Linked DNA regions of Xenopus tropicalis. The protein of the gene in region 2 interacts with the protein of the main gene of each other region in a biochemical or structural test. Links are inferred from orthologs where the notes say so. Each region holds a gene or a part of one and is shown on either strand. Other genes may lie near its edges. The genes, in order: ret, lrrk1 and vgll4.

Evidence for each region.
Region 1: the proteins of lrrk1 (region 2) and ret form a complex in vitro, tested with the Homo sapiens proteins (2 studies listed by BioGRID and IntAct, with this or other methods). The link is inferred for Xenopus tropicalis from reciprocal best matches to the Homo sapiens genes LRRK1 and RET.
Region 3: the proteins of lrrk1 (region 2) and vgll4 form a complex in vitro, tested with the Homo sapiens proteins (2 studies listed by BioGRID and IntAct, with this or other methods). The link is inferred for Xenopus tropicalis from reciprocal best matches to the Homo sapiens genes LRRK1 and VGLL4.

Annotation. Positions count from the first base shown.
Region 1 is NC_030683.2:50,223,378-50,227,661, forward strand, and holds the start of ret (proto-oncogene tyrosine-protein kinase receptor Ret), read left to right. Parts: upstream 1-1,429; 5' UTR 1,430-2,269; coding exon 2,270-2,315; intron 2,316-4,284. UniProt on the Homo sapiens protein: Receptor tyrosine-protein kinase involved in numerous cellular mechanisms including cell proliferation, neuronal navigation, cell migration, and cell differentiation in response to glia cell line-derived growth family factors (GDNF, NRTN, ARTN, PSPN and GDF15).
Region 2 is NC_030679.2:115,735,761-115,739,415, forward strand, and holds part of lrrk1 (leucine-rich repeat serine/threonine-protein kinase 1), read left to right. Parts: intron 1-683; coding exon 684-796; intron 797-1,245; coding exon 1,246-1,460; intron 1,461-3,655.
Region 3 is NC_030680.2:151,278,403-151,281,925, reverse strand, and holds part of vgll4 (transcription cofactor vestigial-like protein 4), read right to left. Parts: intron 1,848-3,523; coding exon 1,637-1,847; intron 857-1,636; coding exon 733-856; intron 211-732; coding exon 1-210. UniProt on the Homo sapiens protein: May act as a specific coactivator for the mammalian TEFs.

The DNA.
Region 1 (4,284 bases), on a different chromosome or scaffold from region 2:
CTCTTGTGTAAGCTTTAAATGGTATCAGTACTGAGATTAACTGCCCCCCCTGCATGGTTCTCACCTCAGATTCAGGCTGTAATCCCTCTGTATTGTTTAAATATGTAATCCCCTGTGTTGTTCACACCTTTTAATCTCTGCATTGTTCACTCCTGCAGTGTTCACACCTCAGGCTCAGGCTGTAATCACTCCCATTGTTCCCCTGTTTACACCTCAGGAGCAGTAGAAACCCACAAATAATCCCTGCACTCTACAAAAAGAACATATACTGAGGTGGTACTGCAATTAAAACGTTTTTTAATATATAGTTATTGTGCAGACTGTAGGAGCAGTGCCAGCATTGTGTCACTGTAGGCTGCCTGTGTGTGCCATACACACACAGGCAGCGTAGGGCAAGCAGAGTATGGCACACACAGGCAGCATAGGGCAGGCAGAGTATGGCACACACAGGAAGAGTATGGAACACACAGGCCAAGTATGGCACAAACCAGACAAGAATGGCACACACAGTGAAAGTATGGCACACAGGCAGGGTAGGGAAGGCAGAGTATGGCACACACAGGCAGGGTAGGGCAGGCAGAGTATGGCACACACAGGCAGGGTAGGGCAGGCAGAGTATGGCAGGTTTTTGCTGTACTACAACCATTAATATGGGTATGGTCATGTGATAACATGGGTGTGGTTTCAAGTGGGTGCGGTTTCAAAAAGGGGAGTGGTCAAAACTGGCTTCCATTATCGGCCCTCCACCACGTAGGTCGGAAAAATTCCGGCCCTCGGTACAACAGAAGTTGGACAGCACTGCTATGGAAGATGTTAAGCACAAGACTGCGTTGTTCAGATCCTCTGCACCTTGTGACAGATTTCATTTTGCGTGCCCCTTTGTACTCTTGCACTTGTGTCTTCCACAGTAAAAAAAAAAATAAACGCTTATATTTCCAGGCTTCTTTTTTATCTGCAAGTTAATTTGGATTTTCCATGCCTATCACCTATTGCCCTTCCTTTAGAACACTAAAAAAGAAGGTAATATATTTTAAAAGATTTATTGCCAGAACCATAGAGAACAGTTTTTTTTTTAATACAAAATTGAAGTAGGTGCAGATGAAATGAAATAATTTAATTTGCCTTAATAAAACTGTATCAGGAAAACAGGACAATTTGCTTTTAACTCTTTCTGTGTGCTATTTAACTCAGTGATTACTTCTGACAGTGGGTTAGCAAAGAAAGAATCCAAGTTGCCTGTAGGTTTGGCAATGTATTTTATGCCTGATTGGTTTTGATTGCGGTGTCTGCTTCTTCCCTTTGCCCTTTTCACTTCAGTATAGTCCATGTGTGAGAGTTCCCCCCCCTGCCTGTTCCCTCCCCTGCTTGCTCCTGGCTGCAGTTTATTAATTAAACTGGGTGTAGCTGAGTGCCCATTTGCTCTTGGCTTTATTTGCACTGAGTTTCCTGCAGATGCACTCGCCTGTTATCAACATCATCTCTTCTCATGCAAGAACCAATCCAGATCCAAACAGAGAACCTATGCTCCTTTTCCAAACAATACCTCTCCTCTTTATAGCTGCTTGAACATCCAAACTAGCATTTGGGACGATTCCCAAGCCCTGCCTAGATCTCCTAGACAAGATATTAATAATGATAAACTCAGTTGTGTTCCCAATGTAACACCTGCTGCAAGAGTGGGAGAAGCACAGGACTCTCAGGGTTAAGATGATGATTTGTGCCTCCCTGGACATCTTTATTTAAGCATCTTTAGGAGACTGTCTTTGGGAAATTGTAGCAGATCGGGGGAGTGGACATTTCAGCATCTCCGCAGCAACTTTTCTTTCTGTGGATTTCATTGTGTGCTGCTTTTGTCGTCTGACACCACTGCTTTTGTCGTCTGACACCACTACTGTCTCAGGAAGAAAACAGCTTGTCCTCTCACATCCCCCTAAGAAGAGAGACAGGCAAGGGACACGCAGCAGGATGCCTGGCAGTGCACGCTGTATGGTGCAGGCTCAGCTAGTGAGCAGGCTGGGCTGAGACAAGCACATTCTAAATCTGAGTTGTGGTGTGGCCAGGTCCAGTCCCATAGCATCGGAGATCCTCTCCCACACTCGGGGAAAGGTCTGCAGGCACTAGGACAGCATGGGTCAATCTGGCTAAAGGATTACAGGAAAACACAGGAGACCGTTCATTCTGTTCCAGACACGCCCTGGAGACACCAGAAGTGGATTATTGCAGAGGGGCAACTTTCTACCTCTGGCACTAAACCCACTCCTAGGTCAGGATGGCACCTGCAGGGTGGGCACTCTGTTTACTCTCCCTCTTGCAAGGTAAGGGGGGCTTGGCTGCTACAGATTAGATGTTCTAAGATGCTGCACTTTCTTGTTATGATAAGGCTGCTGTTATTATTGAGACCTGCTTATACACAGTCCTGACCTATACTTCTGTATAACTTTTAGGGAGAGGGGTTTACCTGCTAAGCCCAAATCCCCTATTTTAGTTAGGTCCCCATATCGACTCCTACTGTATGGTTGCACAGTCTCTTCCCGTTACTAATTATTATTCTCAGCAGTGCTTTCATTTACAGTAGGATGTGCCAATTTTCATTCTGGCACTTTAGAATTTAGCAGGATACTTAGCATTCTTAGCTCTACTAAAAAAACAGCAGGGACAGGTTTGTGGGTTAGTAATTAAGGGAACAGAGGGTGTATGGGCATCAGGTTATCTCCAAATAATGAATGATGGATACTTTATTTAAACAGTGGTTTTGGGGGGGGGGGGGGAATTGGTATATCTATAAATGCTGAAGAGTAGCTAGTGTTATCAACTGGTTCCCTTTGTTTTGATTGGTTGGCATGGGGGTTCCAGGTTGTCTTTGAATGCTAAATAGTTGGTACAGGGATTACCAGGCTCCCTCTGAATGGGACCGGGTACAGGGTCTGCCAGGTTACACTGGGATTGTAAGTACGACATGGAGGAAAGAAAAGCACACTGTTGGTAGCAGTAGCAGAGACTGGGGCAGTTATGATGCCGAGTCCTAGATATTTATGAGTTCTTTGCAGTGAGGTAAGAAGTCTGCAGATCTGATCTCATGTAAAGGTGCCAGCAGCTGCTGTTTCACTAATGTAAACAGAAAATCATATCATTTTCCCTTATCTCCATATGTCAGTGTTTGCTCATAGACTCAGCACATGCAGGTGAATAAATCTGAGCTCTTTAATACAGCAGAGGCCAGGCTCCACGATTTTGGGTAATAAATAACCCTCTGGTCCATAATCACTTCAGAGGGCACAACTTTAGCACATGTTATGTTTATTGTTCCGTGATTAACCATTTCTGCCACCTGACGAAATCACACTGCTGCCAGACCCTCTGGCAAATGTGCCAAGCAAATAGCAATTAATGAACCATATTCTTATTTTTGAAAATGTATTCAAAATTCTATGGTATAAATTCATTTTTAATGAATTCACTAGCTGATTTTATTAAATACAGATGTTCTATCAATTATAATTTTAATAATAATCTTTTATTGTCTGCTGTTATTAACATTAATAGTAGGCTTTTGGCATCTTTTTCAGCGCAATGCATTTAATGTGTAGTACTGATTTCTCTCAAACCAAATCTGTGTTTTGTTTTTAACACAAACTAGAAAGCCAAAGTCTGGAAGCCTGACCAGAGCAGTATTATCTTTTTACTTGTCCATAAATAAATCTATAATTTTAAATTGTATTTAATGACATGTATAAGTAGGTATGACACTTAAACTTAAAATGATTTGTATTATAAAGTATACTGTAGTGTGAAGGATGAGAAAAAGGATTAATGTATCTGCTTGAACTGATTCCTATCTTATTCATCTGTCTATTTATTTTTTCTCCTTTTCTCTTACTATCTATGTTTAACTTATTATTATAATTATTATATTGCAGAGCAGGCCATCCAAATAAATTATAGAAGGAAATAAAGGATATACAATATCATCTTTCCTATACACCTGTCATTATTTGTCAAAGTGTGACAGTAAGATGCTATGCACTTCACTATTAACTCTTCAGTCTTATTCACATTTGTTGTATCTTGGTTATTGGTAAAATGCTTTTAGCAAATAATTGATGGAGAAGGCTAATGTGTCTCTGATTAGTCTGCATCTGCATGGTTGAAATTCTGCTTTATCATTGAATTATTATATTTGCGAAGCTTCAACTTTCAGAAGATGAAAGTTAGTAAGAACACAAGACATTTTATGGCTGGCAATCGTTTCTGAAGACTCTGCTTCCATAATTCTATGGACTTGTT
Region 2 (3,655 bases):
TAGGACATCTTTAAAATTGGTACTAGACATGAGCCAGTCCACTTTTATACCAGTTCTGAAGATTTGCCAAAGATAAATTGTGATTTTGGCTGACTTTCTAGTCATGTGGTTTATGCCTGCATTTCTGCTCTAAATACTGCGTAGGAACCACTAATAAATATTCCATAAAATCCTAAAAATATGGAGGCACAGAATTTCTTTAAAACACACTTTCTATGCCAAACAGCTATTCATACTTTTTTTGGGCTATTAATGTAAAGGGTTATAAAACCCACCAAGCACTAGCATGGGCTTTGTATAGTCTGCTTAACTTTAGTGCCATGAGACATGGGTCATTTTTTGCCCTCCATCAAGCACGAACAACAAAACTACTGAAATTGTGGGTCATTACCGGCAATGTAAATTGGCACTGGTAAATTGTTAGATCGTGTAATTGCACAAAAATGTCTCCTAGGGTATTTTTACACAGCTTGAATAATTTCAATAATTGCTGGCAAATACACCACATAAAAACAACCAGTGTGTCACTGCCCTTTGGAAAGTATCATTGCTGCTCAGTTGTGCTGTATCCCTATCCAGTAAAGAGATGCAACAGTAGGTAATAGCAGCAATAGCTAACCTCCTTCCTGTAAACTTAGAGCATCTAATACACTAATGGATTCATTTATTCCACCCTTTTCTAGCAATCCAGGTATACGAGAGCTTCCTGCAGATTTGGGGCAGTTGTCTAGTCTGTGGCAACTGGACCTTGAGGATCTGAACATCACAAACCTGCCCGGGGAGATCAGAAAGGAGGGTAGGTGAACAAAGGGACCTGCTCACTTTCTTAGATACACTGGTTAGAATTGACCAGATTTGGTTATGATTTCACATACATATGTTACATAAAGCAACTTTATTTATACAGCGCCAACATATTCCACAGCACTTAACAGAGATTATACATCAATCACATCATTCCCTTCCCACACACAATGATCAGTTGTATTAGGAGCCTGTTTACCTGACTGTATGTATTTGGAGTGTTTGAGGAAACCCACACAGACAAGGAGGAAAACATACAAAATCTTTGCAGATATTGGATGCAGAATAGGACCTCAGTGCTGCAAGGCAACAGTGCTAACCATTGCTCCACAATGATAAAGCTATCCTTTATAATCTCATCAAAATGAAGGTGCAGAGCTTTGCAGAACAACTGCTTTGGTGGTTATTAGATATTGACATGTCACATCCTACTGTACCTAGGGCCAGTTACTATCCTGGCTTACCTGCGTGCTCAGCTGAGAAGGGCAGAACGATGCCATCTGGTTAAAATGATAATTGTGGGACCCCCTCGGCAGGGCAAATCTACCCTTTTTGAGGTTCTGCAGAGTGGGAAAGTGTCTCAGCAAATGCAAGGGGACAACTCCATAAGAACCACCTGCTGGGAGCTACAGAAGCCTGTGGGGACCACTGCAAAGGTGAGCAGCAGAGTTCAATTGTAGTAACCTACGTTATTGTAAATTCTACTCACAGATAGTGTTACTGCCAGCTTGAATAGCCCTAGGTGGGATTAGTGGCTGAACTGCAAATATTACAAATATTTTTTTTTTTAATTTTTTTATTATAAATATTTTTTAAACAAATGCTTACATTGGGAGACTTGTGGTTTTAGTAAAAATAAATTTGTTTAAAGCTGGCCATACACGTGGCGATCTGACGATGTTTCGTGGTCGCACGAAACATCGTCAGATCCGCCACACACCATTCAGGGCTCAATCGGCAGGTAAGGAGGTAGAAACAATAGGATTTCTACCTCCTTCTGCCGATTCAGCGCTGAAGAGAAATTTTGGTCAGGCGCCTTCTATGGCGCCCGATCAAAATTTTCAAACTGGTCCGATCGGCGAGTCGGCAGATATCAGCAGCTTCCTGCGATATCGGTCGACTGGCCGACATACCATACACGCAGCGAATATCGTACGAAATGAGGTTTCATACGATATTATCGGTGCGTGTATGGCCACCTTAAGAATCTTACCTTATGCTATAACAATTTAACTAGTAGACCACTCTGCAAAATCTAGACTCTTTCATGGGTATGTTCTCCTCAAAAGTCACTTGTGTTGAATGTTGGAATCCTGCTAGCTGACTTTAGGCATGTGCATGTGGGCAACAGCATTTAAAAAAAAAAGGTGTGAAAGAATGCTAAAAAAATTCATATGTAGGAGCATATGCAAAGAACAGCAGTGTTGATGGCACATGTCATTATCCAATTTACATTTGTTGTATTCTTGTACACCTACCCTGATGTGCTTGTGTTGGGTGTGTGTCACACACAGACCATGCCCACTTGAGGTAAATCTATCTTGCAGATCGTAGATTGGCATAAAGAGAATGTGTGAACCAGGTAAATGCTGAAACATAGTAATGCAACGGTTCTGTACTTCATTCTGTCAAATAGGATATCCAAGTTCCTCCTAAAAATCCTGCCAGTACAACATTCCATAGGGTTACTGCCTTCATATCAAAGTACCTTTTGCATAGCCTTATGCCAAGGGCACACTATGGCCATGATCTGCTTTTCTCCGCCTGAGTTTTGTACTTCATTTTGGCAGTAGGGCAAGTTTCTGGATCAACTTTGTAATTGTTGTATTCATTTCAGTCACCTTGTATTTTCTTTCTTGCAAGGAAAGGCATCCATATCTTTCTTGAAGTTATCTTGTACATGTTTCAGTACAACAGCTTCAGGGAAGAAATAACACAATTTTACAAATTTTCTCACTGTAAAAGATATCTCTTTCCTTAATATGAAACCTCTGTTTGTTTAATCTCAATAGTATGTCCTTTTGTTCTCTGCAGATACTTATTGGTTAAGGGCATTTATTGTATGGGCCCCTTATATATTCATACATAGCTATCATATTCCCCTTAACCACTGCTTTTTCAATGTTGAAAAAAATGCAGCCACTCTTTTCTGGGCTTTCCATATTTCTTTAAAGGAATACTGTCATGGGAAAATGTGTTTTTTTCAAAAGGCATCAGTTGATAGGTATTCTCCAGCAGAATCCTGCACACAAACAGATTTCTTTATATTTAACTTTGAAATTTCACATGGGGCTAGCCATATTCTGCATTTCACTGAAAGCAGTTCTAATGTGCAGCGCTGGCATCTTTTTAAATATCAGACTCGGGCACAATGCACTAAGATGGCGCCTACACACCAATATTAAAACTAAGAATAATTAAGAAATTAAGAATAATTTTAAATGGTAGAGTGAATTATTTGCTATGTAAACAGTGTAATTTAGAATTAAAAAGTACCCCATAAAAAATCATGACAATATCCCTTTATTAATGAATTATATGATGGAAACGCAAACTGCACTCCATATTTTAAATAGATCCTACCTTACCTTTATTACCCCTTCAAGTACAGGACAGTATTTTGACGAACATTGCTGCTGCTGCTGTCTGACATTTCCTGCTGCACACATGTTTTTTATCTGCAATTACCCCAAGATCCTTCTCCATTAAGGATTTACCTAACTTAAGGTCCCCATACACGGGCCGATTCTAGCTGCTGATATCGGTCCCTTAGACTGATCGGCCCGTGTATGGGGACTACCGATGGGCCTGCCCAACCAATATCTGGCCTGAAATCGGCCAGATCTCGATT
Region 3 (3,523 bases), on a different chromosome or scaffold from region 2:
GCCCTCTTCGCGAGGCAGATTCAGGGCTACTGGGCCCACCATCCTTGGCAGCTTTAATCTGGAGCCAGGTTTCTCCAAGTGCCTTGGCAAAATGGTCATCGACAGAACCGGTGATGGACACAGAATTGGCCACGGGCTCCGGCTCCTTGTAGTTCTTGCCGAGACTTCTGCGAAAGTGCTCTTCCACCACAGGGTCACAGGCGGTCGTGGCTGGGGCAGAGGGGAAAAAGAAAGCAAAGTGTTAATTGGCTTGGAGTCAATTCCACTGGAATGTTCTATTTACTACAGACACATTAGAACCTGAAGAATCCAGTACTAAATTACACCATCATTCAAAGGGGAATTGTCAGACCTGGAGCACTAGGGAAATGACTGGGGCCCATGTCCGGCATTACAAGCCTTTGGAGTAACTGGACCAGGACTAATCACCTTCGAGAAATACGGCAATTTCCATGACCTGCCAATAGGCACTGCATCCCGGTCTTCAAAATGGCTGCACTGCAACAAATATAGAGCTCCAGCCCGGGCTACAAGGTCATCCTGGAATAAGGTTTTAAGTGGAAATGATTCAGCAGAACTGGGGCAGTAAAAAACCTCTGGGGTGACTTAACCCTTCCAGTGCTGGGGCAAAAGATATAAGCAACCTTAGAATCTATGGGGCTGGTACTGTTATTCCGGTTGCCTGGCAGGTAAGAGGTTAAATGATGTGTTTAGCCAAGAAGTTGAACTCACTGTTTGATGGCCGCCGGAAGCTGCCGGGCACGGCAGAGACACCCCCGCTGTGGGTGACGGGGCAGTGAGACAGACTGCAGTTGCGGTTACTCGCCGGTGCACACGTAATCACAGAAGGTCGGTTCTGGGAAGAAAGAAAGAATTGCAGCCTTGAGTCACTTGTGCCTTAAAACGATCCTGGGCAACAATTTTGGATGGAGAGTGAAGTTTTACAAAGTCGACAATTTAATAATATTTGGGAAAAAAAAAAAATATCCAGTGATACTGGCTGCATTTACTCCCAACACTGTCTGAGACACCAACAGGAGCTGTAGCGCAGTATCAGGACCTGCCCAAGGGAATGACTATGTCCAATCCCATATTCCCAAAACACTAGTGCTCTGGGCCACACGGATGCAGATGAATCTAACGATTCATTAACCCTCAGGAACTTGCATCTATTTTTCCCTAAAAGAATCTATTAAAGAATATTAATCAGAATAGTAGGGCCACAGGGAGTTAAGGTGCCCATACATGTGAAGATCTGCTTGCCTAGCGAGTTCACCAAGCGAGCGGATCTTCTCCCGATATCCCCACCTACGGGTGGGCGATACCGGGGAAAATGTAGGCTAATTAGATCGCTTGGCCCTGGGGCCAAACAATCAAATTACAATGGCGGCAGTGGGGCAATCGGTTCGGCAGGTTAAGTCAGATCAGGGACCGCATTGGCTCGTTGATGCGGTCACCGATCTGACTTAACCTGCCCGATCGATATCTGCCGGGCAGGCCCCTCGTTCCTGCCCCTACAGGGGTCGATAAGCTGCCGAATCGGTCCAAGGGGCCCATATCGGCAGCTACAATCGGCCCATGTATGGGCACATTTACAGTCCAACATGTGTATCGGTGGAAATAAAAGTCACTTCACCTGTTGCCGTTCCATGGTGGGCACGATTCCCATGCTTCGCGAAGCATCCATGCTGTTTTTGGTAAGTGCCAGCGGCTGATCCACCGCCAGGGGTGGGATCCCATACAAGTGGCTGGCGTGGAGACTCATGGTCGGTGCCGCTGCTCTTTCTATGGGGCTCCGGCTCCGGTCTCTGTGCTCTTTCCGGTAGTCGCCGTTAAGGCTCTTGGTTCTAGACAAAAGCAAAACAGGGATGAAATCTGTGCACCATAATGACTGATACAGAAAATAAAGCTGTAACCATTAGAGCTTACAATCTGACAGGATTAGGGGATGCCCGTGTACTATGGTTCTGCTGCACATGGAGTAGGGGGGCCCCTGGAGCTGCTTGGGAGAGGAGTAATGCTGGCTATACACAGCAATGAGGTGCAAGTGTACCCAGTACCTACAGGTTCCGTGGGTTGGCTGGGTTTGGGTCATCAAGTAGGGTTGCTGGTGTGGGTTTAGGTGGGTGGCGGGAAAATATGGGGTTTAAGAAGTTTGGGAAATTTGAAAAAAGGAAATTGTGGATGGGAAGATTGATACTTGGCCAATGAAGAAAGGATTGGGGGGCTGAGGGGAAGAAATAAGGAACTGTGGGGAACAGTGTAAGGAAACAGTCATTATTACTAAAATATTCAGATACTAGAGGAGCCCCCAGAGATACACACACACACACACAAATATACAGAGAAGGAATGTTCTGGGCACACAATAAGCTGTACCCCCATACTGTACTGTCTAAGGGAAACACTATGGCACCTCCTACCCATATGTATAAATACAAATATACAGAGAAGGAATGTTCTGGGCACACAATAAGCTGTACCCCCATACTGTACTGTCTAAGGGAAACACTATGGCACCTCCTACCCATATGTATAAATACAAATATACAGAGAAGGAATGTTCTGGGCACACAATAAGCTGTACCCCCATACTGTACTGTCTATGGGGATCAATATGGCACCCCCTACCCATATGTATAAATACAAATATACAGAGAAGGAATGTTTTGGGCACACAATAAGCTGTACCCCCATACTGTACTGTCTAAGGGAAACACTATGGCACCTCCTACCCATATGTATAAATACAAATATACAGAGAGGGAATGTTCTGGGCACACAATAAGCTGTACCCCCATACTGTACTGTCTAAGGGAAACACTATGGCACCCCCTACCCATATGTATAAATACAAACATACAGAAAAGGAATGTTCTGGGCACACAATAAGCTGTACCCCCATACTGTACTGTCTAAGGGAAACACTATGGCACCCCCTACCCATATGTATAAATACAAATATACAGAGAAGGAATGTTCTGGGCACACAATAAGCTGTACCCCCATACTGTACTGTCTAAGGGAAACACTATGGCACCCCCTACCCATATGTATAAATACAAATATACAGAGAAGGAATGTTCTGGGCACACAATAAGCTGTACCCCCATACTGTACTGTCTAAGGGAAACACTATGGCACCCCCTACCCATATGTATAAATACAAATATACAGAGAAGGAATGTTCTGGGCACACAATAAGCTGTACCCCCATACTGTACTGTCTAAGGGAAACACTATGGCACCCCCTACCCATATGTATAAATACAAATATACAGAGAAGGAATGTTCTGGGCCCTTGTACACATACTAAGGCAAAATAGCCAAAACACTGGTTCATATATATATCATCTCTAGAGTGCTGAGCCATTGGTTGCACTCAGATACAAGCAGCTCTGCAGGCCAGCGAGGCCCTGTTGGAAACACTAGGAAAAGAAAACCCTGAATTTGGCGACCAAGATACCAAGAAGGAACAGGCGCCATATTAGGGAGAGTCATGTGAAGCCCCCAAGCGATACTG